Schizosaccharomyces pombe: one gene and its partner. The protein of the gene in region 1 purifies or fractionates together with the protein of each later gene. This does not show direct contact. Each region holds a gene or a part of one and is shown on either strand. Other genes may lie near its edges. The genes, in order: scl1 and rpt4.

What was found.
Region 2: the proteins of scl1 (region 1) and rpt4 purify together in Schizosaccharomyces pombe (affinity purification with mass spectrometry, with the first as the bait; one study listed by BioGRID). This does not show direct contact.

The regions. Positions count from the first base shown.
Region 1 is NC_003423.3:955,620-959,273, forward strand, and holds scl1 (proteasome core particle subunit alpha 1), read left to right. Parts: upstream 1-2,014; 5' UTR 2,015-2,038; coding exon 2,039-2,773; 3' UTR 2,774-3,018; downstream 3,019-3,654. Other genes in the region: Pex16 family peroxisome import protein, read right to left, coding at 1-373, 418-682, 725-869; meiotic dynein intermediate chain Dic1, read right to left, coding at 3,050-3,654.
Region 2 is NC_003421.2:403,966-408,366, forward strand, and holds rpt4 (proteasome regulatory subunit Rpt4), read left to right. Parts: upstream 1-1,635; 5' UTR 1,636-1,646; coding exon 1,647-1,864; exon of another isoform or gene 1,865-1,918; intron 1,919-2,286; exon of another isoform or gene 2,287-2,337; coding exon 2,338-3,286; 3' UTR 3,287-3,630; downstream 3,631-4,401. Other genes in the region: mug122 (PX/PXA domain protein), read left to right, coding at 1-533; yip3 (Rab GTPase-binding protein), read right to left, coding at 4,279-4,401.

The DNA of each region.
Region 1 (3,654 bases):
TCGAACTTTAAGAGAACTCGATTTTTGCTTTCTTTTCCAATGCCACATAAACAACATATAGATAAGCGGACGACAAACTTTAATAAAATTAGAAAAAATCCGTAGATTGGGAAGTCTTTTTGTAAAAATCTCATCTGGTAGAATTGAAGAAAGACGTGGAGTTCGGTTTTGCAAGAAGTCAAGCGATGAATTGACTGTATTAAGTCTGGGAACAACTTTCTTGGAGTTTTTTAACACAACAGCACTTCCTGAATTAGAGTATTTCTTGTGAAGATGAATGAAAGTCTTTACATTGAAATCGCGCTGCAATACAGGATTAGAGAGCGGAAGATCACCTCCAGTAGTCCACATAATGTGAACCCGAAGTAAAAATCTAATATTTGTTAACAATTTTAATCGAAAAGTAGATTTCCGTACTTGACTGATTCCAAGAATAGGACAGAATCATACTGTCTTGATGGATTGTATTTAGAAATTACAAGCTCGATGGGGAACGTCGATATGTTTAGAAAGTATAGAAGTTCCGATACTTTTTCGAAGGAAGGATTCTTTTTTCTGAAATATTCTAAGTACTGAGTACGTTCACTTTTCAAAATTGCTTGCTCTGTTTTTGGTAACTCAGCAATTTTACGAAACAGTAAGCCAGTATGGAATTGATGAAGTAGTAGTAAAATAGATGTGACTAAACAAAAGGTTAGATTACAACAAATAGCTAAATCCATACTTGTCTGTGATTTAAGTTGATCATCACGAAATTCCGCTGGCAACAAATAAGCTGCATAGCTAAGCAATCTTTCTATTTCAGTAACTTTAAGAAATGACTTCTCATCCTTTAAAAGTTGATCTTCATAATATGCTAAAGGTTTCATTTTATGTCCCAAATGACTCGTCAGTATAAATAATAAACTTGGTTGCTTATTATACACAGAAGAAAAAAGGGAAACAGTTTTTTAGTAAAATGATAAGGTAATTAATTTTCGAAGTTATGAAGAATATATGCAGAGCTCACAACCAAAACAAAAAGAAGCTTTAAATCTTAGGTATACTAACAACCATAAATGGGTATTGTGATGAGCAAAGAAGTCCCTATATATGAAAAAAAAAACTAATTAAAAGGATACGGGGTATTATTTCCTGAAATTACTAAAACCTGGTACAAATTCGCAATTGCGTAGGTTTGGGCGTGGGCATCTGCAGATCTTGTTGAAACATCCATTGCTAATAAATTCAAACTCACTATGGTTAAATGCTTAGCATATGACTGAGTCTTATAACTTCAAATGATAGCTATATTCATTTATTTATTTTTTTTATTTTGTTGTATTTTCAGTAATTGCAATTTCTTCGTTAAAATTATCATATAGTTATTCATTAACAATGCTTTAGTTGTTTATCATTTAAACCATTTTATAGTATTTTTCTTCTGCTTGATTTATAAATTTTTAGTTTTTGGATTGTGTTAAGTTTTTTAATTCTAGCAAAACAATAAAATCGAATGCATAAATATTTTATATTTTGAGTTTCTAACAATTTATTTCTACATTTGTGATTTCATCTCAGAAAAACCATAATTTATTAATTTAAACGAATATCATTCCTAGAGGTTTAGTCTTTCATATCACATACAATGCCATCTTACATTTTTTCTTAGCATAGCTATTTTTTTTTCTCGAAATTTGAATTTTTTAATTAATCAACCAATCGAGCATCCTTTTCAATTATACTTTTTAATTATTTTTTGTAAGCTCAATGTCAATTCGTCGTGGGCAGCAAGTTTCGCATAGACTAAACTATATACTCAAAAAGTTGGATATTCCTATTCTAATAGATTAGATAATAAAATTAAAGTGGGAAATATCAGAAAATCAATAACTCATTCTTTTTCAATTGAATATAGTTTAATATGTTCGACATGCATCTGTTTACATTATAAAGAGTCGTAACGCAAAATATAGCGAAATCGAAGAAGCTCTTGTGCGTGTACTAATGTTCCACAATTACTAAGTTTCAGGTTATAAACCTACTACTACCAACTACGATGTCTCAAGCACGCGGATTTGATAGGACAATTACCGTCTTCTCCCCTGAAGGACGTCTTTATCAAGTTGAATATGCATTCAAAGCGTTTAATAACGCAGGGATTACATCTGTTGGTGTAACAGGTAAAAATTGTGCATGTGTAATCTCCCAAAAAAAAGTACCTGACAAACTTATTGATGCCTCTACCGTTAAACATGTTTTTCCTATTACTAAAGGAATCGGCTGTGTTATGACAGGCTCTATCGCGGACGCTCGCGCGCAAGTTAGCCGGGCTCGAAGTGAGGCTGCTGAATTTGAATACAAAAATGGATACCCTATGCCCTGCGATGTTCTAGCCAAAAGAATGGCTAATATTGCTCAAGTTTCTACCCAACGTGCTGCTATGAGGCCTTTGGGAGTTGCAATGACCCTTGTAGCTGTGGATGATGAGATTGGACCTTCCCTATTTAAGCTCGACCCTGCTGGTTTCTATATTGGTTATAAAGCTACCAGTGCTGGACCAAAGCAAACGGAAACTATAAACTGGCTAGAAAAACGATTCAAAAAGGACGGAATACCTTCAAACCTTACTGATACCGTTGAAACCGGAATTCAGGCTTTAATGAGTAGTTTAAGTACTGATTTTAAGTCTACTGAGCTTCAGATTGGTGTTGTTGAAGACGACAAACCATTTCGAGTTTTATCAGTAGAAGAAATAGAAGCCCATTTACAAAGTATTGCCGAAAAGGATTGATTGTTTAGACCGGTTTGAATGAAAGTTTTACTATATACCTGTAATTTCGATTGGCATCTTTACGTTCTTACTTTCCTTTATTCCTCCCTTTTCTTGAAGGGTTTATTTGATTTATAAAATCAGTATATGCCATGTTACGTCCTTCCTGATGAAAACTTTTCGCTTTTTCATAGAGTAAGATATGTTAGAGAAATATATTTCTTATTGAACTTGACATTAATATTTCATTGATTTGTGCGTCGTAAAATTTAATCTAAAATCAGTATTTTCATTCGCCTAATTGGCTAAATTAGGGCTTAAATGTTTATAAATATGAACGTTTCCATTGAGGCCCCCACAAGCTAAATTTCTTTTTTCTGGCTGCCATGCTATTTTGTTTAATGGTTTACCGTCTGGGATATCACTAGTTACCGGAGCCTCTACGTCTTTTTGCAAATCCCATAGGTTTAAATTTCCTAGTGCATCAACGCTTGCGAAGCAACAAGGTTCCGATACACACCATTTAACATCAAAGACCATTGCCTTATGAGTAAATGTTTTGCAACTGTTTATGATAACCTGTTCATCTAAATCATTTGATGGGACTAATTCGTGCTGGTTTCTACTAGGAGAGCATTGCCAGAGACGCACGGTCCAATCAAAACTACTAGTTAGAGCAAAGTCTTTATTTTTTTCAAGAAATACGTTTTGACTGTTTGATGTCATTACATCTATTCCAGAAATAAAGACATTGTGACCCTCGTAACTAACATTTGAAGGTTGTACAGCCTTCGTCTCAGAGTAATCAGATCTATAGCCCCTTTGTAATTTTCCATCTTCAGCTCCCACTAAAAACTCCATGTTATTTTCAGGGATAAAAGATAGACATGTAGCTGGGATAC
Region 2 (4,401 bases), on another chromosome or scaffold:
TGAATTCCAAGTTGTGGTTTTTTCGAAAATCAGTTTTAACGATTATGAAGACGACAGTATTGCATGGTCCTGGGAGGTTCTCGGCTCAAGTTGAACGAATGTTAAAGAACCAAATTTATGACAAGCTTTCAAACACTCAACTAGTGGGAGATTTATTAACTTCGTTAATCTTAAACGTATGGCCCGACGAAAAAAAAGCCATGGAATCACATTCGACAAGGGCACACAGACGTTCAACTGAATCTAAAATTTCCTTTGATAGCGAAGCCGATTCCCTTTTCGAAGAGGCTAGCAAATCTGTTCCTGAAGACCCTGTTTCAGTTTTTTGTGACGAGGAAAGCGATGAAAGTTTGAGATTACGAGCCGAAAAAACCCTTGTTGAAAACGCTTTATCTGAGAATTTTACTCTTATGCTTGGACAGTCAACCTCCGAGGAAAGCCTAAAAATTATTTTCGAACTGCTTCAAGAACCGCAATTCGTGCAAGGGTTCCTTGCACATTTACTTAGCAATGCTCTTCGTAGCATCATATAGTCAATCAAGGTATATCGCAAGTGTGCCGTATATTTATTTCTTTTCGCCGATATATACCTGGCATTTTAATGATTTTTACTTCTTTCCCTTTTTTATCATTTTGTTTCCCTTCTCTTACATTTTAAAATTCCATTAGCTTTTGGTCGATACGTGATGACCGGTTTCATGATTAATCGCAAAATCAAACGAACCTTTAGAACCATTCCCTTGTTTTCTACCTCGTTTGTTAATATTTTATTATCCTACTTTCTTTTATATATTTATTTATAAAATCGTATTTTCGACTTTACCTTGCTTTAAGATTTGTTTGTTTAAAGTTGGCGAAGTCGAGAACTATCTTCTCTATCTTTAGTCAAGTTTGCGTTAATTTATACATATTGAGTTTCGTTTATTCGGTTAATTGTTCGTTCCGTTTTACAAGCAATCTAGCTTTTTGTGTAAGAAAAAGTTAGACGTGTATATGTTTAGAAAATTTAGTTGTAGGAACTATGATATTAATTGACAATCATATTCTGACACAAGTGGTCAATTGAATTGGATTGTTCAACTTAAGAGACCAAGTTTTGGCGGATTAAGCATAATTTTTGTTAACAGAATGACTTGAAGCAACTACCAAATTGTTGACATAGCAGTACCCAAAATTTTACGAAGGATGAAATTTTTTAAAGCAGAAAACGTTCGTTAATTTTGAGATTAACAGTAATTCTAGCATCTTCAAAGTTTGATGTTTGCTCAACAAGTTTTTGTTTTTACGGATAGCGACAGGAGTGTAATACCTCTGGTTTCGAGAAAACTTAAATATGAGAAGTTTAAACAAAATAATAATGCATTTTCGGTTGGGGTTTCAGCATGAACTTGCAAAACTGAAAAGATACTCAATTCAAACTTCAAAATATTCTTTTAAAGAAAACTGTAGTCTAGTAATCATACTGCTATTATAGAAAAATATAATCTTACGCAAGAACAGATTCCGCTGAAATTCGCAATGCTTATTTAACGAAAACGACTTTAGTGAAGTTTTAATAATTTCTAAGAACGTAAAATACCGAGTAATTGGATTCCCATTTGCTAGTATGTTCTGACCAGAACTAACACATCTTTTGCGAAATAACCATGTCGGAAAGAGACACTGCTTTAGAGAAATATAAATCCTATTTATTACAACATCGAGAATGGGATTCAAAACTGAAGGATTTGCGTTTTGGAAATCGAGATCTAGTCAAGAAATATGATAAAACAGAGGATGATATAAAAAGCTTGCAGTCGGTTGGTCAGATTATTGGAGAAGTATTGAAACAACTTGATTCTGAAAGATTCATTGTAAAAGCTAGGTAAGTAATTACTCAAACTTTTGGGAGATTGTTTGCTTTACGTGGAGGATATATACAAGTGAAATGTGAAAATGGATGTGAAGACCTTATTATTAGTAATGCATATGTTGGGCGTTGAATTCCTTCATAAAGAATTTTTTGTGGCGTATGAATGGGAACCATGTTTAAATGCATATAATCATTTGCCCGTTCCTTTTTTTTTTTAAAGATAAGTTCAGTGGGCAAAATCTGTGTTCAAAAACTGTTTGGTTCTAACCTCTCCATCCAGCAAAAATTCTTTTTGAAATGCGCACACGGTATAAAAATCTATAACCGGAAGCATGAAACACTCTGTTTACTGGTTTCATAGCAAATCGTTGGGAAAGTAGATACCTCACGTATAGTCATCCTTCTCTTTTTACAAATCTATCGTTGCATTAGTACACTATTTTTTATTTCCTTTCATTATTTTCTGTTTCCCTAACCTATTCTAGCTCTGGTCCACGTTACGTTGTAGGTTGCAGAAACAATGTCGACCAATCTCATTTGGTTCAAGGCGTTCGTGTATCTTTAGATATGACCACGTTAACCATTATGCGTATTCTTCCTCGTGAGGTTGATCCTCTCGTTTACAATATGTCAATTGAAGACCCTGGTGACATTTCTTTCGCCGGTGTCGGTGGCTTGAATGAACAAATTCGTGAATTGCGTGAAGTTATTGAACTACCTTTAAAGAATCCGGAATTATTCCTTCGTGTGGGAATTAAGCCACCAAAAGGTGTTTTGCTCTATGGTCCTCCTGGTACTGGTAAAACTCTTTTAGCTCGTGCCGTGGCGGCATCTTTAGGTGTTAACTTTTTAAAAGTAGTTTCCAGTGCTATCGTTGATAAATATATTGGAGAATCTGCTAGAATAATTCGTGAAATGTTTGGCTATGCAAAAGAGCATGAGCCATGTGTTATTTTTATGGACGAAATTGATGCTATTGGTGGTAGAAGATTCTCTGAAGGAACATCTGCTGATCGTGAAATTCAGCGTACATTGATGGAATTATTGAATCAGATGGATGGTTTCGATTACCTTGGCCAAACGAAAATTATCATGGCGACAAATCGTCCTGATACTCTAGATCCTGCCTTGCTTCGTCCTGGTCGTCTAGATCGTAAAATTGAAATTCCCCTACCAAACGAAGTTGGTCGTATGGAGATTTTGAAAATCCATTTAGAAAAAGTCTCTAAACAAGGCGAAATTGACTATGAAGCATTGGTTAAACTGACAGATGGAACAAATGGTGCTGACTTGCGGAATGTGGTTACAGAAGCAGGATTCATAGCCATTAAAGAAGATCGCGACTATGTCATTCAGTCCGATTTAATGTCCGCAGCTCGTAAGGTTGCTGACCTGAAGAAACTTGAAGGTACAATTGATTACCAAAAGCTTTAGTGCACATATATCCAAAAAGCCATGAAATGATAAGTTTACCGATGAAGATTATACGCGCAACTGCATAGTTATGATTAAAAAGGTCGAATAGTAAGTGAAACGTTTACTTTTAATATATTCCGACTCTTTTGGCTTTTATCATGTATATATGAATATGCTTGATGGGAATCTATGTATATTATCGTAAGGCATATCTGTGATAGTACAAACTGATTTTCTTCAATATTTGATTATGTTTTCCATATCCTCCAAATACCAAACATTGTTTTTCCACTCTACATAATTTACTGGCGACAAAAGAAAAAATGATCAAGTAAAAATAAACAATTAATTATACACATGAATTAAAAGTAAAGCAAATGTTTGACTAGAAATTATTAACTAACCAAATGCACTGAAGTGTAAAGAACGAACTAAATATATTGAACGAAACCCGGTTCAAAAATGCAAAAATTCTTCTCTTCCCAGGAAGGATAGTTTGAAGTTATCCTTAAAAGGTAGTAGACCTTTGACAAAGAAACGAGGAAAAACGTCTAGTACGCTAAGATAAAAGAATAAGAGAGGTGAAAATCATAGCTGGCTTCATATAAGCAGCCAAACTAGTTATTATAGTACTAGATGAAGCTGAATGCGCAGTTTAGAAGTCATTTTATCCCATAATTTCAAGAAAGTAAAGGCAAGATAAAGATAGCCAGATAGAGTCATTGAAAAAGACGACGAAAAGGCGTAAAACAAAGAGCGCAGAAATGAATAATCTAAAAAATTACAAATGAAGTATTAACGTATTAAAAGGAAAAAAGTATGAAACGCAAATAACTGATAATAAAATGATTAGCAAGCTAGTTTCTTTAAAATCGGCGTACAGTTTCCCTCTTTTTGTTTGTCAAAGAAGAGTAAGCGTAGGAAATGCCAGTATTCCCTTTGTAAAGACATGTACGAAAATTAAAGCAACTGTACCAAGATAACCAAAGAGGCTGTTAGAAACAATTTTTTTAGACTTGTTGCTCGACAGTCTCAAATGCCGATTCAACAGGAGGCTCAAAGAAAGCAGCGTGTCCGAATACACAGACACAGGAAGCACCAACTAACCAAATGATAGTTTCGATGGGAGATGC